3 linked regions of the Saccharomyces cerevisiae S288C genome follow. The protein of the gene in region 1 binds, or shares a complex with, the protein of each later gene. Each region holds a gene or a part of one and is shown in the gene's direction. Other genes may lie near its edges. The genes, in order: DRS2, CDC50 and YNR048W.

Region 1 (12,463 bases):
CAAAATGCAGTAGGGTAATAAACCTTTTTTTTTTTTTTTTTTTTTTTTGAAAAATTTTCCGATGAGCTTTTGAAAAAAAATGAAAAAGTGATTGGTATAGAGGCAGATATTGCATTGCTTAGTTCTTTCTTTTGACAGTGTTCTCTTCAGTACATAACTACAACGGTTAGAATACAACGAGGATATGTCCGACGAAATTGTTTGGCAAGTGATTAATCAAAGTTTCTGCTCTCATAGAATTAAGGCACCTAATGGTCAAAATTTTTGCAGAAATGAGTATAACGTCACTGGGTTGTGTACAAGGCAATCATGCCCACTTGCCAACTCCAAGTATGCAACAGTGAAGTGTGACAATGGGAAACTGTACTTGTATATGAAGACGCCTGAAAGAGCGCACACTCCTGCCAAGTTATGGGAAAGAATCAAACTATCCAAAAATTACACGAAGGCTTTACAACAGATCGACGAACACCTACTACATTGGAGCAAGTTTTTCCGTCATAAGTGTAAACAGAGATTTACAAAATTGACGCAGGTCATGATAACAGAGAGACGTTTAGCATTAAGGGAGGAGGAGAGACACTACGTTGGTGTAGCACCAAAGGTCAAAAGAAGAGAACAAAACAGGGAGAGAAAGGCATTGGTAGCTGCCAAGATTGAAAAAGCCATCGAAAAAGAATTGATGGACAGATTAAAGAGTGGTGCTTACGGTGATAAACCATTAAATGTTGACGAAAAGGTCTGGAAGAAGATAATGGGTCAAATGGAAGAGGAGAATTCTCAGGACGAGGAAGAAGACTGGGATGAAGAAGAGGAAAGTGATGATGGGGAAGTTGAATACGTTGCAGATGATGGCGAAGGTGAATACGTTGACGTGGATGACTTAGAAAAGTGGTTAGCTGACTCTGACAGAGAAGCTTCCAGCGCCAGTGAAAGCGAAAGCGACAGTGAAAGCGAGAGCGACAGCGATAGTGATGAAGAAAATAAGAATTCAGCCAAGAGACGTAAGAAGGGAACTAGTGCCAAAACTAAACGTCCTAAAGTCGAAATCGAATACGAGGAGGAACACGAAGTTCAAAATGCTGAGCAAGAAGTGGCACAATAAGCTCACGCACTATACTACGCAACATTACATGATTTCAGTTTCTATTATTGAATGAACAGGATTTTTCCACGTGGATTGGGCAGCGCACTGTACCATAATAACAACCAGTTATAAAATATTTCAATTCTTTTACATATATAAAAATACATAAAGACTATTATTTTTGTAAGATGGCCCATTCTGTAACACTTAAATTTCTTATCAAAAAAAAAAAAAATAATACCTTTAGTAGCTGTTGGGCTAATAACATTGCAAATTAGAAGCTTACTATTAGAAGCTTACTATTACGGGATTATTGAGGTAAAGGTTATTTGAAGCGTAAATCACTGAAATCTTCCTGATCACGTGATTGGCTTTTTTTGCCAGAAAACCCAAATCTGTTTAATGCCACTAAGTTGAAGAAACATATAATCAACAATTGTTGGCAATTCTAAGGGGAATAGTGCAACAAGAAGCCAGTAACGCCAAATAGAGGTTAGCGCCAAGCAATAATTTACTGGTAGGTTCTTTCATTCCCTGATTTTACCATGAATGACGACAGAGAAACCCCCCCAAAGAGGAAACCTGGGGAGGACGACACGCTTTTCGATATTGACTTCTTAGACGACACGACTTCTCATTCTGGATCCCGTTCAAAGGTCACCAACTCACATGCGAACGCGAATTATATACCACCAAGTCATGTACTTCCCGAAGAGACTATCGACTTAGACGCTGATGATGATAACATTGAAAATGATGTCCATGAAAATCTATTTATGAGCAATAACCATGACGACCAAACGTCTTGGAATGCCAATAGATTCGACTCAGATGCATATCAACCACAATCCCTACGAGCAGTCAAGCCTCCCGGTTTATTTGCTAGGTTTGGTAATGGTCTCAAAAATGCCTTTACGTTCAAACGGAAGAAAGGGCCCGAAAGTTTCGAAATGAATCATTACAATGCGGTGACTAATAACGAATTAGACGATAATTATCTAGACTCGAGGAATAAGTTCAACATTAAAATTCTTTTCAACCGGTACATTTTAAGAAAGAACGTTGGCGACGCAGAGGGCAATGGTGAACCAAGAGTCATCCACATCAACGATTCTCTCGCTAATTCCTCCTTCGGTTATAGTGACAACCATATATCTACCACCAAGTATAATTTTGCGACCTTTCTGCCTAAATTTTTGTTCCAAGAATTTTCCAAATACGCTAATCTGTTTTTTTTATGTACATCTGCCATTCAACAGGTGCCTCACGTCTCGCCAACTAATAGATACACCACAATTGGTACTTTATTAGTGGTTTTGATTGTTTCTGCCATGAAGGAATGTATCGAAGATATCAAGAGAGCTAATTCTGATAAAGAATTAAATAATTCGACAGCAGAAATATTTTCAGAAGCACATGATGACTTTGTTGAGAAACGATGGATTGATATTCGTGTAGGTGACATAATTAGAGTAAAATCAGAGGAACCTATTCCTGCTGATACCATAATTTTGTCATCTTCGGAACCGGAGGGTCTTTGCTACATTGAAACTGCCAACTTGGATGGTGAAACAAATTTGAAAATCAAACAGTCGAGAGTAGAAACTGCCAAATTTATAGACGTTAAAACTTTGAAGAACATGAACGGAAAAGTTGTTTCCGAACAGCCGAACTCTAGCTTGTATACTTATGAAGGTACAATGACTTTAAATGATCGTCAAATACCGTTATCTCCTGACCAAATGATTTTAAGAGGTGCAACTTTAAGAAATACTGCATGGATATTTGGTTTAGTTATCTTCACTGGTCATGAAACTAAGTTATTGCGTAATGCTACTGCAACCCCAATTAAAAGAACCGCGGTTGAGAAAATTATCAACAGACAGATTATTGCATTGTTCACAGTTTTAATCGTGCTAATTTTAATTTCTTCAATTGGTAATGTTATTATGTCTACTGCAGATGCCAAACATTTATCGTACCTTTACCTGGAGGGTACCAACAAGGCTGGCTTATTCTTCAAAGACTTTTTAACATTTTGGATTCTATTTTCGAATCTAGTTCCTATTTCTCTATTTGTCACCGTTGAATTAATCAAATATTATCAGGCTTTTATGATAGGTTCAGATCTAGATTTGTACTACGAAAAAACTGATACCCCAACTGTGGTTCGTACATCCTCTTTGGTTGAAGAACTTGGTCAAATAGAATATATATTCAGTGACAAGACAGGAACTTTAACAAGAAATATTATGGAATTTAAATCCTGCTCTATTGCAGGCCATTGCTATATTGATAAAATACCTGAAGATAAAACGGCCACTGTTGAAGATGGGATTGAAGTTGGTTATAGAAAATTTGACGATTTGAAGAAAAAGTTAAATGATCCCTCTGATGAGGATTCACCTATTATCAATGACTTCTTAACATTACTGGCTACCTGTCATACTGTCATTCCAGAATTTCAAAGCGATGGATCTATTAAATATCAAGCAGCCTCTCCAGATGAAGGTGCCCTCGTTCAAGGTGGTGCAGATTTAGGGTATAAGTTTATCATCCGTAAACCAAACTCTGTAACTGTTTTATTGGAGGAAACTGGCGAGGAAAAAGAGTATCAACTACTTAACATTTGTGAATTTAATTCCACCAGGAAGAGAATGAGCGCTATATTTAGATTTCCGGATGGTTCGATAAAGTTATTCTGTAAAGGTGCTGATACTGTCATTCTGGAAAGATTGGATGATGAAGCTAATCAATATGTAGAAGCTACAATGAGACATTTAGAAGATTATGCATCTGAGGGTTTGCGGACGTTGTGTTTGGCGATGAGAGATATCTCTGAAGGAGAATATGAAGAATGGAATAGCATTTATAATGAGGCTGCCACAACATTAGATAACAGAGCCGAGAAGCTAGACGAAGCCGCAAATCTAATCGAGAAAAATCTAATATTAATTGGTGCAACTGCTATTGAAGATAAGTTACAGGACGGTGTTCCAGAAACTATCCACACATTACAAGAAGCGGGTATTAAAATTTGGGTTTTAACTGGTGACAGACAGGAAACTGCTATTAACATTGGTATGAGTTGCCGTTTATTGAGTGAAGACATGAATTTGTTGATCATCAACGAGGAAACCAGAGATGATACTGAGAGAAATTTGTTAGAGAAGATTAACGCTCTAAACGAGCATCAATTGTCAACACATGATATGAATACCTTAGCGCTCGTCATTGATGGGAAGTCATTAGGCTTTGCCTTGGAACCAGAATTAGAAGATTATTTGCTAACTGTGGCGAAGCTTTGTAAAGCGGTTATATGTTGCCGTGTATCTCCACTACAGAAAGCCTTGGTTGTTAAAATGGTAAAAAGAAAGTCGTCTTCACTACTGCTAGCCATTGGCGATGGTGCCAACGATGTTAGTATGATACAGGCAGCTCATGTTGGTGTCGGTATTAGTGGTATGGAAGGTATGCAAGCGGCTCGTTCAGCTGATATAGCTGTTGGCCAATTTAAATTTTTAAAAAAACTATTACTTGTCCATGGCTCCTGGTCTTATCAAAGAATTTCTGTCGCAATTTTGTACTCTTTTTACAAGAATACAGCATTATACATGACGCAGTTTTGGTACGTTTTTGCCAATGCCTTTTCAGGTCAATCCATTATGGAATCATGGACAATGAGTTTCTACAACTTATTCTTCACTGTTTGGCCCCCTTTTGTCATTGGTGTATTTGATCAATTTGTTAGTAGTAGATTACTTGAGCGGTACCCACAATTGTACAAATTAGGACAGAAGGGTCAATTTTTCTCTGTTTACATCTTCTGGGGATGGATTATTAATGGCTTTTTCCATTCTGCAATAGTATTTATTGGCACCATATTGATTTACAGATATGGGTTTGCCTTAAATATGCACGGCGAACTAGCTGATCATTGGTCTTGGGGTGTAACTGTCTACACTACAAGTGTCATTATTGTTTTGGGAAAGGCTGCTTTGGTAACTAATCAATGGACGAAATTCACCTTAATTGCCATTCCTGGTTCCCTCTTATTTTGGTTAATATTCTTCCCAATTTATGCTTCTATATTTCCTCATGCTAACATCTCAAGAGAGTATTATGGTGTGGTTAAACACACGTATGGATCCGGTGTATTTTGGTTAACTTTGATCGTTTTACCAATTTTTGCACTGGTAAGAGATTTTCTATGGAAGTACTATAAAAGAATGTATGAACCAGAAACGTATCATGTTATTCAAGAAATGCAGAAATACAATATCAGCGACTCTAGGCCGCACGTTCAGCAATTTCAAAATGCCATCAGGAAGGTGAGGCAAGTGCAAAGAATGAAAAAACAAAGAGGATTTGCCTTTTCACAGGCTGAAGAGGGTGGGCAAGAAAAAATTGTCAGAATGTATGATACTACTCAAAAGAGAGGTAAGTACGGTGAATTACAAGATGCTTCGGCGAACCCCTTTAATGACAATAATGGACTGGGAAGTAACGACTTTGAAAGTGCAGAACCGTTCATTGAAAATCCATTTGCTGATGGTAATCAAAATTCAAATAGATTCAGTTCTTCGAGAGATGATATTTCATTTGATATATGAGGCACAGAAACAAAGAGCAGAAGACAAAAAATACAAAAATAAAAATAAGATAAAAAGAAAAGTCATTATTACCATTACTGAAATATGTACATTTACCATAAAATATATCCGTTATATAGAAGTTATAATATTAAGCCATCACTTTGTTATCGGTTTTTCATTCCTCCTGGGGTTGCTTCGACTGGGTACGTACCTTATGTCTTCTAGGCCTATGCAACACATGTACATCAATAATTTCACCTAAATTAATAACAGGCTTGTACATAAATTCTATTACAGGTTTTATATCCTCTTCCACCGGTGTATCCAGGGCATCAGCGTCCCCATTTTCTATTAACAAATTAGGTACCTGGGGCTGTTTTTCTATTTTCCTAGCTAATAACGTTTTGGGTCCTGCATTTAATGAGAAACCGTTTAATGTTAATGTTTGAAACATCAAATAGTGCCTTAAATTGGCGATCTTCTTAATGCTGTTGATGAATATGTCGAGCTCCCACTTATGTTTGTAGTGCAACTTGTATTTGAATTTAGCCAGCCTTGTCACAGACTGGATGTGAGAAGTTACCGCATTATCCGTATCGGCACCTGCAAAAAGTTTGGGCAGAACGTTGATTTGGAAATCAGTAGAATGACCAACTCTTATTTTGCTGAGTACGGAACTGATGATTTCCGGGGACGCTAGTTCGTAAACAATCAATAACAGGTCCTCCTTGATCTCGTCACAAAGATTCTTCTTATCTTGTTGCGATAAATATATTCTTGTATTTGGTGATTTTAAGCAGATTATGGAGTTATTTGATAATAATGGTGCTTCAAATATAGTGGCATTCGACTTATTGCTAGTCTTATCATTGGTTTGAAGGATCTGCTTTCTATTGACAAATATACGTAATGGCAAAACCATGTCCCTGGCTATCTTTACCGTTGCTATACTTGGTGCCATTTTTCACGGTTACTGTGAAGTCCAATATACTCAATCTTCTTGTATTCTTCCCTTTCAGGCCTGTCCTTTTCTATTTCATTGCCCTTTTTTCCACTCATCTTTCCACTTGATTAAAAATACCAGAAGAAGCACATTTTTACATTTATACGTTACATATGAAAAAATCACAGGATCATTTTTTGATATACAAATACTATTTTTTATTTATGCGATACTAGATGCTTGAAGGTATAGCATATGACGATGATGATAATTAAAAAGACAATATCAAGGGCCTCGTTGCGGTATTTAGATGCGAATGTTACATTTTTTTTGGATATCATTAAGGAATTCTCCAAAGACAATAAACTTTCCATTTTCCTCATTACTTCCTTCCTAGAGGCCAACCTGTCTTTGCAAGAAGCCATTCTTTTCTCTAAATCTTGTAATTTTGCCACGTTTGTATTTATTGTATCACTCAAACGTGCCTCAAATGATTCGGGGTTTTCCTTGTCAAAATCCTGTTTCAAATTCATTAAATAATCCTCTTCAACAAGCTCTTTCCATCCAATGGTCCTGGATCTTAAGTCCCTTAGCTCTTTAACGATCTTGTCAAAATTTGCAATGTTTTTAACAAGGTCATTTTCATCTTTCAGAACCTCATCTTTCAAACTGTGCTTTAGTAAAGCTTCTGTCTGCTGTAACTGCAATCCGATATGACGCTGATAGTAGTCTAATTCATCTGAATTTAGCGAAAGATTCGAACTACTATATGTGATATTTCCAGGAGGTTCAAGAGGATCAACAGCCACTGACTGTGAGAATGACGTCGATGATGAAGACGATGAAGAAGAAGACAACGAAGATGAGGACGACTGCGAAAACGATGCATTGCAGGCGTCTTTTGGCGAAAGCCCAATGGGATTAGCAACGGCAGGAGAGGATTCGGAAGCTACAGAGGGCGGTCTTGAGGGCGAAACATGTTTCTTTGGTGAGCTTTCAAGATCATGGTAAAGCAAGCTCTGTAACGATATATCTGTCTGCGTGCTAGAACTCCCGTCTGATGAATGCGAATGATGTGTGGGTCGCTTGGAAGGCTTAGATATAACATTGGGCAATATTGGATCGAAAGCCGGCGCCAGTGCAGACGAATCCTTAGATTGCCCAGACGAAGAAGGCTCCATGGATTTCAAAAACCGGTGAACCAACCTTTTCTTGTCCTTCACGAAGGACCGGGAAGGTGATTTAAGACCGTACTTGTCGTTGTCTTTGTAATGGCGATGGGCTGGGTGCTGCTGGGCTTGCAACATCTTAAATGAGGGAAAATGGTCTTTGGCAGAGTATCCACCATCGAGAGGCTTTGATTCTACACTATGCTGCGGGAATGGTCCTTTAAAGGTGGCGACTACGTTAAATGGGTGTTTTGGCGAGAGTCCAGAAGACTTCATCGTACTGAGACTTCGTACTTTATCTGGTGCTGCGTTGAACATACAATCGCTGAACATTGCGGTCGAGGCAGACGTGTAATCCGGAATAACTTGACGATGCAGTTTATGACGAGCATGATGGTGCTCCATTTCATATTTCTGCTCTTTTTCGTGTAATGCAGCCAAATTACTGTGAGAGGCTTGCCATCCAACGTTTGGCTTAGTTTCAACAGTAGATTTGTGGCCAACATCTGGTGTTCCAGCGTCAATCATTTGCTTTACATCTTCCAGGGGTCTCTTTTCTACACCATCTTTGCTATTGCGATCTGTACCATCTATTCCGCTGCCTTTAGAAGAGCTCTTTATTTGAGCATTTTGCATTGTACCTGGACAACTACTGGACTACGTAAAAAACTGCCATCAATTTGTGTTATTCTTACTCTTTGAGACAATGTTTCATAACAATAGAACAATAGCTTTTTGACCTTCCCCTTATTTTATTTCAAAAGGTAACAGTTAGGGCTATTCTTAAACTTTCTTTAGGGTACACAATGAAAACATCAAGATTGAGTTAAAACCCTTAAAATAAAACTAGGTCTTTAAGAAACTCACTCTCCGGGTTATCCATAGAATGTTTACCATTCTTTAGGGTTCTGAACTAATGCGAAAAAAAAAAAAGAAAAGACTGAAAAATTCGAAAATATCTCGAAGTTTAGCAGTAGTAGATGAGAATAGGGTCTCTTTTATCGAAAACCTGCAATTGTAATACAACCTTTTTTTGAAAGTCAGCCTTTATTCTGATTCTGCATACTCAATTCCTCAATTCCTACGGAGTTATCACCTTTTTTTTTACCTTCTCTTCTTTTCTTATTGTTCTAGCTGAAAACATTGTTACCAGTTTGGCGAGACAATTTATTTTCAATACGATACCCTTTTGTTCTTCTTTTTATAATTCAATCTAATTCTAAAACACAAAAAAACAAAAAAAATCCTATAACCAGTTCTCCCGCATGTCATTTGAAGTAGGAACTAAGTGTTGGTACCCTCACAAAGAACAAGGCTGGATAGGCGGCGAAGTCACCAAGAATGACTTCTTTGAAGGAACGTTCCACTTAGAGTTGAAATTGGAGGATGGAGAAACTGTATCCATTGAAACAAATAGCTTCGAAAATGATGATGATCATCCCACGCTACCTGTACTACGAAACCCACCTATTTTAGAGTCTACTGATGACTTAACCACCCTATCATATCTGAACGAACCGGCAGTGCTGCATGCCATAAAAAAAAGATACATGAATGGACAGATATATACTTACTCTGGTATTGTCCTTATTGCCGCTAATCCCTTTGATAAAGTCGACCATTTGTACTCTCGCGAGATGATACAGAATTATTCTAGTAAGCGTAAAGATGAGCTGGAGCCGCACCTTTTTGCCATAGCAGAGGAGGCGTACAGGTTCATGGTCCATGAAAAGGCTAACCAGACTGTTGTAGTCAGTGGTGAATCCGGTGCTGGTAAGACCGTCTCTGCTAAATACATTATGAGATACTTTGCCTCAGTCCAAGAAAGCAACAATCGTGAAGGGGAAGTGGAAATGTCTCAAATCGAGAGCCAAATTTTAGCTACTAACCCGATCATGGAAGCCTTTGGTAACGCCAAAACTACCAGAAATGATAATTCCTCTCGTTTCGGCAAATATCTGCAAATTTTATTTGATGAGAATACTACCATCAGGGGGTCCAAAATTAGAACCTATCTCTTGGAAAAATCCAGGTTAGTTTATCAGCCAGAGACAGAAAGAAATTACCATATTTTTTACCAAATTTTGGAAGGATTGCCAGAACCGGTAAAACAAGAACTGCATTTGTCATCTCCCAAGGACTACCATTATACTAACCAAGGTGGACAGCCGAACATAGCTGGTATAGATGAAGCTCGAGAATACAAGATAACCACTGATGCCCTGTCATTAGTAGGTATAAACCACGAGACTCAGCTTGGAATTTTCAAAATTCTTGCAGGCTTGCTACATATAGGTAATATCGAGATGAAAATGACTAGAAACGACGCATCACTATCATCGGAAGAGCAAAACCTGCAAATCGCATGTGAATTATTGGGTATTGATCCCTTCAATTTTGCAAAATGGATTGTCAAGAAACAAATCGTCACAAGGTCTGAAAAAATTGTCACTAATTTGAATTACAATCAAGCGCTAATTGCTAGGGACTCTGTGGCGAAATTTATTTATTCCACGCTTTTTGATTGGCTAGTAGACAACATTAACAAGACATTATACGATCCTGAGCTGGATCAACAAGATCATGTCTTTTCCTTTATTGGTATTTTAGATATCTACGGGTTTGAGCATTTTGAGAAAAACTCATTCGAACAATTCTGTATAAACTATGCGAATGAAAAATTACAACAAGAGTTCAACCAGCACGTTTTCAAATTGGAGCAAGAAGAATATGTAAAGGAGGAAATTGAGTGGTCTTTCATTGAGTTCAGCGACAACCAACCTTGCATAGACTTGATTGAGAATAAACTTGGAATACTTTCTCTATTAGATGAAGAAAGTAGATTACCATCAGGCTCAGATGAATCATGGGCCTCAAAACTATATTCTGCCTTTAATAAACCGCCCTCAAATGAAGTTTTTTCGAAGCCAAGATTCGGACAAACGAAGTTTATAGTAAGCCATTATGCTGTTGATGTAGAATATGAAGTTGAAGGGTTTATTGAAAAGAATAGAGACAGCGTTTCCCTAGGTCATCTGGATGTTTTCAAAGCAACGACAAATCCAATTTTCAAACAAATTTTAGACAACAGAGAACTTAGGAGTGACGATGCTCCTGAAGAGCAAAATACTGAAAAAAAGATAATGATCCCAGCAAGATTAAGTCAAAAGAAACCAACCCTGGGATCTATGTTCAAAAAATCGCTCGGGGAATTGATGGCCATCATAAATTCTACTAATGTTCATTATATTCGTTGCATAAAACCAAATTCTGAAAAAAAGCCATGGGAGTTCGATAATTTGATGGTCTTATCGCAATTAAGAGCTTGTGGTGTGCTGGAAACAATCAGGATTTCATGTGCAGGCTTTCCATCAAGATGGACTTTTGACGAATTCGTTCAAAGATATTTCCTCCTGACGGACTACAGCTTATGGAGTGGAATTCTTTATAATCCAGACCTCCCAAAAGAGGCAATCGTCAACTTCTGTCAATCTATTCTAGATGCTACTATCTCTGATTCAGCAAAATACCAAATTGGTAATACCAAAATTTTCTTTAAAGCAGGAATGCTTGCATTTTTGGAAAAGCTAAGGACTAATAAAATGAATGAAATATGCATCATAATACAGAAAAAGATAAGGGCAAGATACTATAGGCTTCAGTATTTGCAGACCATGGAATCAATAAAGAAGTGCCAAAGCCAAATTAGAAGTTTGTTGGTTCGTACAAGGGTCGATCATGAGCTCAAGACAAGAGCTGCCATATTACTACAAACGAACATTAGAGCATTATGGAAACGGGAATACTATAGAGCTGCCATTGGGCAAATAATAAAACTACAATGTACCTGTAAAAGAAAATTGATTTTAGATAGTGTTAACAGGAAATTCATGCTCATGGCGGCAGTAATTATCCAAAGCTACATCAGATCATATGGTCACAAAACAGATTACAGAACATTGAAAAGGAGCTCCATTCTTGTACAAAGCGCCATGAGAATGCAGTTAGCTAGACGAAGGTATATAGTTCTGCAAAAAGAAGTTGAAGAACGGAATATTAGGGCTAGTTACGGGATTGGATTACTGGAGGAAGCTATCGAATTTAAGAACTCTTTCATTTTGAATCTAGAGATGTTAAATGACTCATATACAAGATTAACACAGTTGTTGCAGGGAGATTTGTCAAATATTCCATCTAAGCAAAGGCAAGAGTACGAAACGATAGTAAATGGTTATAATGATAAGATTTCCAAGCTGAAGACGTTACAAGTTGAAATCATGAATACTTTAAACAAGAAGAATGCCTTGAAGGAGAGAAAAAAGAAGCAATCTTCTTTAATACAGTCACATATGCAAAGTTTGGCTGCTATAAAAGGTAACAAACCTTCAAGATTAAGTGATGAAGTCAAATCAATGAAGCAAGAACTAGCGTTTATTGAAAACGTAATAGCACAAGATTTCACCACCACATATTCTGCTAATAAGAATGATAAAGTGAAAGGTTTGGGAATCGCAGGACAACAAGTAAAACCGAAGCTAGTCAATGTAATTCGTAGAGAATCAGGAAATCCTGATCTTCTAGAATTACTAATGGACCTGAATTGTTACACATTAGAAGTCACAGAAGGTTACTTGAAAAAAGTAAATGTTACTGAGGTGAATGGAGACAA
Region 2 (6,719 bases), on another chromosome or scaffold:
GATAATGCCAGTGAGGAAAGGTACCAAAACCACAAGAACAGAAAAGCTTTACTTAGTATTTACGGAATGGGTAAAATTACTTCAAAGAGTTGAGAATAACGACGTAATCACAACTGTTTTTATCAAGCAATTAGTCGAAAAGGGTGTTATCAGCGATACTGATAATTTACTTACATTTGTCAAAAGTTCTCTTGAGCTATCAGTTTCTTCATTCAAAGAAAGTGACCCGACTGATGAGGTTTTCATCGCTATTGATGCTCTAGGATCGCTAATTATAAAATTGTTGATTTTACAGGGTTTCAAAGATGATACAAGAAGAGATTACATAAATGCAATATTTTCTGTGATCGTTTTAGTGTTTGCTAAGGATCATAGCCAAGAGGGTACCACATTCAATGAACGACCATATTTCAGACTATTTTCTAACATCTTATACGAATGGGCTACCATCAGGACGCACAATTTTGTTAGAATATCTGATTCCAGCACTAGGCAGGAGCTGATCGAATTTGATTCTGTATTTTACAACACTTTCTCAGGATATTTGCACGCTCTGCAACCATTTGCCTTCCCTGGATTCTCATTTGCATGGGTGACACTATTATCACACAGAATGTTATTACCAATTATGCTAAGATTACCCAATAAAATAGGTTGGGAAAAGTTAATGCTTTTGATTATCGATTTGTTTAAATTTTTGGACCAATACACAAGTAAACATGCAGTCTCTGACGCTGTTTCGGTTGTTTATAAGGGAACACTGCGTGTTATTTTAGGCATTTCGAATGATATGCCATCCTTTTTGATTGAAAATCACTATGAATTAATGAACAATCTACCTCCAACATATTTCCAACTAAAGAATGTTATTTTATCTGCTATTCCTAAGAATATGACCGTTCCCAACCCATATGACGTGGATCTTAATATGGAGGATATTCCAGCATGTAAAGAACTACCTGAAGTCTTCTTTGATCCTGTAATTGATTTACACTCATTGAAAAAGCCAGTTGACAACTACCTACGTATTCCCTCAAATTCATTATTAAGAACAATACTAAGCGCTATTTACAAGGATACCTATGACATAAAAAAGGGCGTAGGCTACGACTTTTTATCTGTTGATAGTAAATTAATTCGCGCTATTGTATTACATGTGGGCATTGAAGCTGGAATAGAGTATAAGAGAACTTCTTCAAATGCGGTATTTAATACGAAGTCTTCTTATTATACTTTATTGTTCAATCTGATTCAAAATGGTAGCATCGAAATGAAATATCAAATTATTCTGTCTATTGTGGAACAATTGCGGTATCCAAACATCCACACCTATTGGTTCAGCTTTGTGTTAATGAATATGTTCAAAAGTGACGAATGGAATGATCAAAAACTTGAAGTCCAAGAAATTATTTTAAGAAACTTTTTAAAAAGAATTATTGTTAACAAACCACATACCTGGGGTGTTTCAGTTTTCTTTACTCAGTTGATAAACAATAACGATATTAATCTTTTAGACCTGCCCTTTGTACAAAGTGTTCCCGAAATTAAACTAATTTTACAACAATTAGTAAAATATTCCAAAAAATACACAACCAGTGAACAAGATGACCAATCCGCCACCATCAATAGAAGGCAAACCCCTCTACAATCCAACGCATAAAAAAACTGCATTTATTTATATACGAAAATCATGATTTCAGAAAAAAAAATATAACTTGTATAATACTATATTTCAGAGAATACTATTTTGAATAAGAATAGAAGCAATTTCGATTAACTTTTCTTACTGTATATGGGTCGCTTTCACTTTTGAACTACTGAAAATTAGTGTTACCCGTATTATTGTTTTGGAGAATAATAATAATAATGAGCATCAATTTATATCAAACAAGAGCTGCAATTACCTTATGTCCATGACGCACTGCGAACAAAGAATAATTGAGTAATCGAACTTGAAGTTCTATAGAACAGCTTGTATATGGTTTCATTGTTCAAAAGAGGTAAGGCTCCACCGCTCACGAAAGAAGGCCCCACTTCTAAAAAGCCTCCTAACACAGCGTTTAGACAACAAAGGCTTAAGGCATGGCAACCAATACTGTCTCCTCAAAGTGTGCTTCCGTTGTTAATATTCGTTGCATGTATATTTACTCCTATTGGTATTGGACTCATTGTAAGCGCTACTAAGGTACAAGATCTAACAATTGATTATAGTCATTGTGATACAAAAGCATCTACAACTGCTTTTGAAGATATACCAAAGAAGTACATTAAATATCACTTTAAAAGTAAAGTTGAAAATAAACCACAATGGAGGCTAACCGAAAATGAAAATGGCGAACAATCATGCGAACTGCAGTTCGAAATCCCAAACGATATCAAGAAATCCATTTTTATATATTATAAAATAACCAATTTTTATCAAAATCATCGCAGATATGTCCAATCGTTTGACACAAAGCAAATATTAGGGGAGCCTATCAAAAAAGATGATCTGGATACAAGCTGTAGTCCAATAAGAAGTAGGGAAGACAAAATAATATATCCCTGTGGGTTGATCGCTAATTCCATGTTTAATGATACATTTTCTCAGGTGTTGAGTGGTATAGATGACACAGAAGACTATAATTTAACTAACAAGCATATATCATGGAGTATTGATCGTCACAGATTTAAAACCACCAAGTATAATGCTAGCGATATTGTTCCACCGCCAAACTGGATGAAGAAGTATCCCGATGGGTATACAGATGAAAATCTTCCTGATATCCATACTTGGGAAGAGTTCCAGGTATGGATGAGGACTGCAGCCTTTCCCAAGTTTTACAAGTTGACGTTGAAAAATGAATCTGCTTCTTTACCGAAGGGTAAATATCAAATGAACATTGAGTTGAATTATCCGATTTCACTCTTTGGTGGCACAAAATCATTTGTACTGACTACAAATGGAGCTATTGGTGGTAGAAATATGTCACTAGGCGTACTGTACCTCATCGTTGCAGGGCTTTGCGCCTTATTTGGCATCATTTTTTTGGTTAAATTAATCTTCCAACCAAGAGCGATGGGTGATCACACTTATTTGAATTTTGATGATGAAGAAAACGAGGATTATGAGGATGTACACGCAGAGAATACAACATTGAGGGAAATTTTATAGAGGCCAAAAAACAAACTTTAGTGCCTGTAGGTATTTGTGTTTATAAGTAAACAAGTTTTGTTGACTTCCTGAAACGTAAACAAAAGAAAAATTGAAGTATGCCTTTTTACGCTTGGAAAATAGTGCGACAAAGAACTCCCAGGGTTTGCTATTCCCATTTAGATGATGAAATGATAGAAAAGTGGAAAACGTTTATCATGAAATCATCTATACATATACGTAAAAATGTAAACTATGTAAAAATATGTTCCCTATAAAAGTGATGCTCTTCCGGAACGTTTTCTTTTTCCCACAAATCTCGTTGAAACCTGAACCAATCTGGTAATTCAGAATCACAGGGTATCCTTATTTTGACGTTATCTTTTCCCCTTGCTTTATAATAGCCATAATCTCCATTTTCTTTTTTATTAAATGCTAATCTATACCTATGGCCAAAAATTCCTAGGTCAGAAGAGGTTTTCTTCAAATCGTCTCCTAGAACTCCACTTACTTGTAATACTTTATTATTTTTCACTTTGGTTTCGATTTGATTTATTAATGTCAAAAGCCGCTGAGGCACTTCTGGCTCTCTGCAAAGGTCATCTTCATTTACTCTAATAAGTTTGCCAGAATTGGCCTTATACTCTATCGAATGCGTCCTATTATTCTCAAGGGGCAATTTTTTTGCTTTGTTGTCCACAATTGTCTTATTATCCTTCTCCTGTTCTATCTCAATGTTAATTATTTCTAGAAATGTTTCCGCAAAATAATTTCTATTCTTACCAGAAAATAATCTGTACTCATTTATGATTGATGCAATATTCCATTTCTGAATTTTTCGAAGTATACCAATGACCAACGCGGTCTTATCTACCAATAAAACATTATAATTATCCACATTCAATAATGTTTTGAAAGTTCTTTTTAAACACGTGCTCTTAATCAGCATTAAGTCATCATTGTCAGTCAAGTGGTAAGCCAATTCCTCCTGAATTACAGGATCCCCTGTAGTAGAATTTTGTGACCCATTTGCAGTGGATTTTTTCTTTTCTTCCTGTAATGATAGAGTACTGTTATTATTCGAATATAAATTTGCGTTAGATACAGAAGAGCTTTTTACCGGAACTGCCGCAGCCGAGAAATCAGACATCCTTAAAACAATCCATTTTATGGATGATCTTGTGAAAAAATCTTTGAAAAACTTGGATGGTTCTTGACCTCCAATAAATATAGCTGTCTTTAAATTGAGAGTTTCCAGAAAGGATAAATTTAATGTCTCCACTTTAGAACATCTATATATTCCTTCTTCAGCAATCCCAAAGTTAGCAGGTGGAACCAGCATTATGAATTCAGGTTATGGATCGCACCAGTGCTGTAAGTGTCTCTCTTTTTATTCTACGATCTCCATATAACAACCACATCTCATTTCTTTACCTTACTGTCCATTTAATGCTAGAAAACTTCCGAATATTGTATTATTATTACCCGGATATGTCAAGGCGGTATATTAAGATGTTCCTTTCAAAAGTTTCATTATACCGCATACGGTAAGGACAGCCATAAGTAGTTTTACTGATAAAATATGGGGCTAAAGAACTGTATATTTATGGATAGCACTAAAAGTAAAGATTTTCCCCGTGTCCTGACTTGGAGAAACAAAATTTCATTGTCATAAAAAACTTTTAAAATATGATATTCAAAGCTTGAGCATTGGGCTTCTGGATGACAGTTCTAATCAAGTTGGGTCTAAGGATATTGCATGTATACAAAGGATTCTTTCGGAAAGTAATCCTGAAATATTTTTTTTTTTCGTCTGAACATACGAAAGTAAATAAAAAAAGTTCAATGCATGCCTTCCTATGCAAGATTTATAAAAGGTGAACAGGTCAGGAGCAGCCACATCTCAATAAAGGCAGTTAAAGACGGTGATGTAGGTGCAGAAAGAGAAAGTGAACAAAGGATGATTTGAGATGTGTAATGATTCGTTTGAGCAGCAACAACTGCTAAGATATTCATACTAATAGGCCACTTCACACATTATGCCTTGGAGAATATCCTGCATTGCTCCTTTTATAGTATAGTCTATTCAGCACTAACAAGCAAAGCGAACATAATGGTAAAACTAACTTCAACTGTTGCTGGTGTCGCCTGCATCGCTGGCCCTCCCCTCCACTACGGCCATTTTAGCACAACTTGAATGAGTCAACTTGGTTGAGTTGCATGTTAACGTCTCTGATATCAGAGCTCACTTGCTCAATAATACATGTTACAAACTGCCCACTAAATTGAACACTCTAACATTATATTGACCTGAATTATTTGAAACGAAGTCAACAGAATGATCACTGATTTTCCAATGTACTCCGCTATGTTGAAGCTAGCCATCTTAAGCGATCAATGACGGTGCTCAATCATTCTTCGAAATGGGCTAAAAATGACAGTTGAAATATATTCTTTACGTTCATTTTTTTTCATACTGCAAACCCATTCTAGAACCAATGGTAAAAGTGACGGGAGTTGCTTTCTTTTACTATTTCAATGATAGCTATAGCCTGCATACACACAAAAGAATGTAAGTGATTGCGTGAAAGCTTAAAGTCTTAAAACTGTATTTTTTTCAACTCCTCCCATATATTAAACTGGTCCTCACAGTTCGCAGGATAACTAACAATTAAAAAAATTGTTCATATGGTTGTATTTCTTTCCGTCTCACATTATTAAAATTCAACGAAGAAGTTTCTACAATAACAGACAAGGGCCTACGATTACTATGTACTGGAAGGTGAGTCTTGAATTCATCCTCAGAGATTGTTCTAAAGACCAACAGAAATCCATATAGATTACCGTAGTTACTCTGATGGAATTTCAGAGTAAGACCCTTGTCAACTTCATCACTTTAAGTTGAGATGTAGAAAGACACTTTTGTAAGGTCTCCAACAAGTATATTTGATAAATAGACTGTTGAGCTACAAAAACTCAATGTGAAGTAAAAGACCTCATAAATGATCGATTATCTGTTTGGCAGGTACTAATAAAACTGCATTGGTGTCTTTTTTCACTTACGTTAAAAAAAACTTTTTGCAATGATTTAAGCGTGCGTGAAGATAACACTACAATCCATTTTAAAGCAACATCCACATTGAGTGTATACACCACAAAGGTTTTTTCAGGGCGTTTTTCTCGCCACTTTATGTTGACCAAAATTATTAATGGAACTTACAACGTTTCCAAAAGTTAGTTAAATACATACGTCTATTTACTAAGCAAGAAATATATCATGACAAGCCCAAATATTATATTGTTATGTTTACAAAAAAAAAATGGCTATATACATCAAGTCTGGAGGCTTTTTATAACAAGCAAGTGGGGTAACTTAGACATAAGATTGACTTCTTTGAATTCAACAAAAATACATACTTTTGATGATTTCAATGGTAGAAGCAGTAGTAACTATGCCGATGAAATAAAATCCTGATATCATCTATATAGTAGTACTCACGTTACTAGTATATCATCTATAAGATGTAGGAAAATGTCATAAGAAATGAGAAACAGTCATTAAATTTAATGGAAACGAAATGCAAGG
Region 3 (6,018 bases), on another chromosome or scaffold:
GACAACCGACAATAAAACGAGAAATCTTTCACCTACCAAACAAAATGGTAAAGCTACCCATCCAAGGATAAAAATACCTTTAAGAAGAGCAGCTTCAGAACCAAACGGGTTGCAACTCGCATCTGCCACATCGCCGACATCTTCTTCAGCAAGGAAAACATCAGGGTCCAGTAATATAAACGACAAAATCCCAGGCCAATCAGTGCCTCCTCCAAACTCATTTTTCCCTCAAGAACCCTCTCCAAAGATTTCTGATTTTCCAGAACCTAGGAGGTCCCGACGTTTGAGAACTAAATCTTTCAGCAATAAATTTCAAGATATCATGGTGGGACCACAGTCTTTTGAGAAAATAAGATTGCTGGGCCAAGGTGATGTAGGTAAAGTTTTCTTAGTAAGAGAGAAAAAGACGAATAGAGTGTATGCTTTGAAAGTCTTGAGTAAAGACGAAATGATAAAAAGAAATAAAATCAAACGTGTTCTGACAGAACAAGAGATTCTTGCCACCAGCAATCATCCCTTCATCGTCACACTATACCATTCGTTCCAATCTGAAGACTATTTGTATCTCTGTATGGAATACTGTATGGGCGGGGAGTTTTTCAGAGCTTTACAAACAAGGAAAACCAAATGTATATGTGAAGACGATGCCAGGTTTTATGCCAGTGAAGTGACAGCAGCACTAGAATATTTACATCTGTTGGGTTTTATCTATAGAGATTTAAAACCAGAGAATATTTTGCTGCATCAATCAGGCCATATCATGCTTTCTGACTTCGACTTGTCTATTCAGGCTAAAGATTCCAAGGTTCCTGTTGTCAAGGGTTCCGCTCAATCAACCCTTGTTGATACCAAAATATGCTCAGATGGGTTTAGAACCAATTCCTTTGTCGGAACTGAAGAATATATTGCCCCTGAAGTCATAAGAGGTAATGGCCACACCGCTGCGGTCGATTGGTGGACGCTAGGGATTTTGATCTATGAAATGTTATTTGGTTTCACTCCATTCAAAGGCGATAACACAAATGAAACTTTTACGAATATTTTGAAAAATGAGGTCAGTTTTCCCAATAACAATGAAATCTCCAGAACTTGTAAGGATTTGATCAAAAAATTACTGACAAAAAATGAATCTAAAAGACTGGGTTGCAAAATGGGCGCTGCCGACGTGAAGAAACACCCCTTTTTCAAGAAAGTCCAATGGTCTTTGCTGAGAAATCAAGAACCGCCTCTGATACCAGTGTTATCTGAGGATGGATATGATTTTGCTAAATTATCATCTAATAAGAAGAGACAGACTAGTCAAGACAGCCATAAACATCTCGATGAGCAAGAGAAAAATATGTTTGAAGAACGAGTTGAATACGACGATGAAGTCTCTGAAGATGATCCATTCCATGACTTCAATTCAATGAGTTTGATGGAACAGGATAACAATTCAATGATTTATGGTAATACCAATTCTTATGGGAAAATTGCATACACTCCAAACTCCAACAGATCGAGGAGTAATAGTCATCGAACCTTTTTTAAGAGATAAAGGGGGCTTTGACGTATAAGTGTCGGTATTTTTTTTTTTTTTATTGATTTTTTTTTCACTCTTATTTTTTCCCTCATTTATTCATCATACATTTAACGAACTCTATTTCTTTTCAAAATCCTTATCTACCTATTTTTTTTTCTTTATTTTCTTTCCTCTGTCAGTTAGTCAGTAGTGTGTAACTTAAATAAATCATATATCGGTGTTTCAATTTCTAGCATTCTGTGTAAACATCAGATGAAGCATTGCCTTTCTTTTCAATGAACTCTATGTAGTTTTTTCGATTTGCTTGCGTACTATTTTTCACGCGATAGTTGAAGAAACGATAGAAGGATGGCGCAATATACAAGTTAAAAGCAAATAGATATCTAATCAATAGTTAACATCTAGAATAAAGTGCTGGAACTTAGATTTTTTTGTGCAATATGGGACTGATATTAAGGTGGAAAGAGAAAAAACAGTTGTCTAGTAAGCAAAATGCTCAAAAATCCAGGAAACCGGCAAACACATCGTTTAGACAACAGCGCCTCAAAGCCTGGCAGCCCATCTTGTCGCCACAGAGCGTACTGCCGTTGCTTATTTTGATGGCATGCGTCTTCGCACCCATTGGTATAGGGCTGGTGGTCAGCACGATAAGTGTCCAAAGACTAGTGGTAAACTACACAGAATGTGATGCATTGGCACCGGCGAAGCATTTTGAAACGATTCCCTCCGAGTACGTGGACTACCACTTCAGTAAGAAAGTCGCAGTCCAACCTCAATGGATGGTACTTACGGATCCTGAATTAGGCAATCAAACTTGTCGAATACAGTTCGAAGTTCCAAATCATATCAAGAAATCTACTTATGTTTATTACCGCCTAACAAATTTCAATCAAAACTATAGAGAATATGTGCAATCTCTTGACCTAGACCAATTAAAAGGAAAAGCATTGATCGGAAATGATCTGGATCCAAACTGTGACCCTTTAAGGACGGTAGAAAATAAGACCATATTCCCCTGTGGATTGATAGCAAATTCGATGTTCAATGATACATTCGGCACAACACTTACTGGTGTAAACGATACTGCAGATTATTTGCTTACCACAAAAGGTATTGCGTGGGACACCGACAGCCACAGATATGGAAAGACCGAATACAATGCATCCGATATCGTACCGCCCCCAAATTGGGCCAAGTTATTTCCCAATGGCTACACTGACGATAACATTCCAGACCTACAAAACTGGGAACAGTTCAAAATATGGATGAGAACTGCTGCATTGCCCAACTTCTATAAGCTAGCAATGAAAAATGAGACCAATGGGTTAGGTAAGGGTATTTACATTGCTGATATAGAACTCAACTACCCAGTAAGATCTTTCTATGGAACAAAATCTTTTGTATTAACCACAAACAGTATTATCGGTGCTGGAAACGAGGCATTAGGGATTGTTTATTTGATTGTTGCCGGGATTGCAACTCTTTTCGCCATACTATTCCTGATAAAAGTCATCTTCAAACCAAGACCTATGCATGATCATAGCTACCTAAATTTTGAGAACAGCGATACCCCATTCGATGAGAGTAGTGTCGTTAGTATTCCATTGAGAGAAATTTTATGATTGATTATCATTTACTATAAAATCCCTGCGTTTGATTCGGTCTCTAGGGAAGCGTTGTAATTTCATGTATATTCAAAATAAGGACGAGGTTATATACCATACTATATTATCTCCTTGCATTCTGTATCAAACACTTTATTCAGTACATATACGATACCTATATATTCATTAAATGTTCTTTTCGCTTTATTTCAGCAAGGTATAGTGCTATTTAAAATCCATAATCGTTATTGCGTCTCTTTAGTCTGTCCTTCATTGCCATTACTCCACTACTTGCGTCTGGTGGCGGCGTTGGCGTGCTGGAGGTGTTGAAACTGTTCGACGTTTTACTTCGACCGAGACTTGCCCTGAATTCTTGGCCTGCTGAAGGTCTAGTCGGCCGTGATGAAGCTCTTCTCGGTGTCGCGCTAGAGGAGCTTGTATGATTATTGTATATATCTTGAAACGATTTACTCGCAGGCGTGTACTCCGGTGTGTTCCCGTTTGAAGAAGGTGTACCCATAGGATCTTCTGAAGAAGCCTTCCTTCTGTTAGAAAAGGATGGCGAGAAATGACGCGAGTTTTGCTTCTTCATATCATGCTTCACTTGAGTATCTAATATTTTACGTTCGTTCGGTAAATCTTCCTTCTCCCCCAACCATCCTGGGAACCCCTGGAAAGGATGCTGATTTTCATAGAATTTCACAAGCCCTTTATGGACCAATGTAGTATTTACAGTATCACCATCTTTTTCTGCTTTAATGGATAAATGTGCCAACGATGTAGATAACGATTTGGTTGACGACTTAAACTTGTTCCAAAATCGCCCGGATCCTTCTTGGGAATGCGATACTTGACTCATCATATGCGTGAAATCTTAGTTATACTGGTAGTTGGTATTAGGGCCTAGCGTCTAATAGTTAGTTGGCGTTTTATTTTTTTGCACCTTTCCTAATAGTATTAATCTCTAAAAGTGAAAAACTCCTAAGAGTCTTTACGAGCTCATTTAATACGTTCTGATCAGAAGCAAGACTATAAAATGCAATAGCCAATACTTTTTAGACTAAAGGTAGACGACTTACTAGCGGTTCAAGCTTCAGGAACTACACTCTCAATTACGTTCTAGTCCATTTTGTCCCTCTTTCCGGTTTTTTTTTTTTTACGTTTCCTTATGAAAGTATAAGTAATACTAAAGAAAGATTTATAAAGTGCCGTTACTGTTACGTATGATAAACCTTTTGATACATTTCTTCTTATTTAAGCCACTGTCTTTTCCTTTAGATAGATGCCGTACTTGTCCTTTAGTTCTTTCATGATTGGATCATTAATCTCTGGTGAGTATGGCGCTAGTAAGCCTGGTCCCTTGATTGTACCATCTAAGACGAATTTCGTTGCAATGGCAACTGGATAACCAACAGTAGCGGCCATAGAACTGTAACCACCAACCTTACCATAGTCAACTAAAGTGGATGTTCTTGTTTCGGTAGTTCCATCAGCCCATTCAATACCGAATTTGTGTTGTAGTACAACCATATCTCTTTCATTGTCTTCATATTGCATTAGTTCTTCTAAACGTGCACATAGAGTGTCTAAAGCATTACCTCTTGGTGTGATCTTTGCGTCAGAGAACAAGCCTAACCAAGCAAACCCGGAAAGGATTCTTTCTCTATCTTCATCATCTTTCCAAGTAGCCTTTGAGTCAATGGAAGCAATCAAATCTTCTTTAGAAGTAGACTTGGCACCTAAATATTGTTTTAGTGCTTCGTTCCAGGCAATTGGCTTGCTGAAGATTTCGTTAGCATCATCCTTCAACATACCCATGTCAACTAAAGCCTTAACAAATTCTGGGAAACCTTGATATCTCAAAGTACCTCTAATGACCGTTTCGGCTTCTGGAATATGATAAAGATCCTTGAAAAGGGTAGAGTCTCTATTTGGGTAGCAAACGAATGCATAACCTGGGTAGATGAAGTAAGGCTTAGCAGTGGCCATTAAGTCTTCGGAAGAAACAGTTTCAATCTTTCCGTCTTTCCAGTATTTAGCAGAGTTTCTTAAAGCCAGTAGCACACCTCTGGAGGACCATGAAAATTTGTATCCTAATGGATTATCAGAGTCTTCAGGAGCTGGTAAACCACCACAGTATGACAAGAATGACTTTAGCTTACCACCAGCTCTGTGAACTTCATCAATAGTCTTGACCGCATACAAGTGGTCGATACCTGGATCCAACCCAATTTCGTTCATAACTGTAATACCTGCCTTTACGATTTCTGGTTCCAATTCTCTTAAGGCAGGTGAGATGTAAGAGGAAGTGACGACATCGGTCTTTGTTCTGATGGCGCTCTTTACCACATTTGGATGGAAGGTGTATGGAATCAAAGAGATGACAACATCGTTATCAGCCAGAACTTTGTCTAAGGCACTGTCATCGGTAACATCCAATGAAATAGCCTTGGATCCAGAGGGCTTGGCCAATGCTTGCGCATTGGCTAATGTTCTACATGCGACAGTGACATTGATGTCATCATTAGCAGCCAATGTGTCGATAACAGGTTGTGCAACAAAACCAGATCCTAGCAACAAAACGTTCTTTCCCATATTAAAATATATAATACGTTAATATAACTCAATTGTCCTGATAAGTTTTCCCTACTGCCTAAGGATCCTTCCCATGTAATTTTACCAGGACCCTACGGTTTATATACCATTAAGCCAAATTCTGTGCTACTTTCTATCATCTATTGCTGATAATTCCATTGGAAATTCTCAATACCCTTTATTGACATCTTTATTTTTCACTACAAAGCGAATTTTTCCAACGGAATTTCGATTCCAGAGTATGAGTAATTCTTTTCACTACTAAACGCATTGCTTCGTGGTCAGTAGTAACCGCAA

Evidence for each region.
Region 2: the proteins of DRS2 (region 1) and CDC50 are in contact, whole or in part, in a cryo-EM structure (PDB 6PSY), measured with the Saccharomyces cerevisiae proteins. Residues at the interface, in NP_009376.2 of Saccharomyces cerevisiae: His241 (codon at 2,353), Val242 (codon at 2,356), Ser243 (codon at 2,359), Pro244 (codon at 2,362), Met469 (codon at 3,037), Lys475 (codon at 3,055), His476 (codon at 3,058), Leu477 (codon at 3,061), Ser478 (codon at 3,064), Tyr479 (codon at 3,067), Leu480 (codon at 3,070), Tyr481 (codon at 3,073), Leu482 (codon at 3,076), Asp494 (codon at 3,112), Thr497 (codon at 3,121), Tyr520 (codon at 3,190), Phe523 (codon at 3,199), Met524 (codon at 3,202), Ser527 (codon at 3,211), Asp528 (codon at 3,214), Leu529 (codon at 3,217), Tyr532 (codon at 3,226), Glu534 (codon at 3,232), Asp537 (codon at 3,241), Pro539 (codon at 3,247), His1000 (codon at 4,630), Trp1003 (codon at 4,639), Tyr1029 (codon at 4,717), Ala1032 (codon at 4,726), Asn1033 (codon at 4,729); in NP_010018.1 of Saccharomyces cerevisiae: Lys21 (codon at 2,039), Lys22 (codon at 2,042), Pro23 (codon at 2,045), Pro24 (codon at 2,048), Asn25 (codon at 2,051), Phe28 (codon at 2,060), Arg29 (codon at 2,063), Gln30 (codon at 2,066), Gln31 (codon at 2,069), Leu33 (codon at 2,075), Lys34 (codon at 2,078), Ala35 (codon at 2,081), Trp36 (codon at 2,084), Gln37 (codon at 2,087), Pro38 (codon at 2,090), Ile39 (codon at 2,093), Leu40 (codon at 2,096), Ser41 (codon at 2,099), Pro42 (codon at 2,102), Val45 (codon at 2,111), Leu46 (codon at 2,114), Leu48 (codon at 2,120), Leu49 (codon at 2,123), Val52 (codon at 2,132), Phe56 (codon at 2,144), Leu63 (codon at 2,165), Phe138 (codon at 2,390), Tyr140 (codon at 2,396), Lys142 (codon at 2,402), Asn145 (codon at 2,411).
Region 3: DRS2 (region 1) and YNR048W share a complex: the UniProt entries of both Saccharomyces cerevisiae proteins name them as parts of the flippase complex.

Annotation. Positions count from the first base shown.
Region 1 is NC_001133.9:88,867-101,329, reverse strand, and holds DRS2 (aminophospholipid-translocating P4-type ATPase DRS2), read left to right. Parts: upstream 1-1,632; coding exon 1,633-5,700; downstream 5,701-12,463. Other genes in the region: ribosome biosynthesis protein MAK16, read left to right, coding at 185-1,105; DNA-binding protein SAW1, read right to left, coding at 5,858-6,643; FRT2 (Frt2p), read right to left, coding at 6,844-8,430; MYO4 (myosin 4), read left to right, coding at 9,060-12,463. UniProt on the Saccharomyces cerevisiae protein: Catalytic component of a P4-ATPase flippase complex which catalyzes the hydrolysis of ATP coupled to the transport of phosphatidylserine and small amounts of ethanolamine from the lumen to the cytosolic leaflet of the trans-Golgi network and ensures the maintenance of asymmetric distribution of phospholipids.
Region 2 is NC_001135.5:284,784-291,502, forward strand, and holds CDC50 (aminophospholipid translocase regulatory protein CDC50), read left to right. Parts: upstream 1-1,978; coding exon 1,979-3,154; downstream 3,155-6,719. Other genes in the region: CCR4-NOT core subunit CDC39, read left to right, coding at 1-1,660; OCA4 (Oca4p), read right to left, coding at 3,387-4,475; YCR095W-A (uncharacterized protein), read left to right, coding at 4,856-5,014.
Region 3 is NC_001146.8:709,668-715,685, forward strand, and holds YNR048W (putative aminophospholipid translocase regulatory protein), read left to right. Parts: upstream 1-1,962; coding exon 1,963-3,144; downstream 3,145-6,018. Other genes in the region: serine/threonine protein kinase FPK1, read left to right, coding at 1-1,537; MSO1 (Mso1p), read right to left, coding at 3,356-3,988; LYS9 (saccharopine dehydrogenase (NADP+, L-glutamate-forming)), read right to left, coding at 4,381-5,721. UniProt on the Saccharomyces cerevisiae protein: Accessory component of a P4-ATPase flippase complex which catalyzes the hydrolysis of ATP coupled to the transport of phosphatidylcholine and small amounts of phosphatidylethanolamine from the lumen to the cytosolic leaflet of the trans-Golgi network and ensures the maintenance of asymmetric distribution of phospholipids.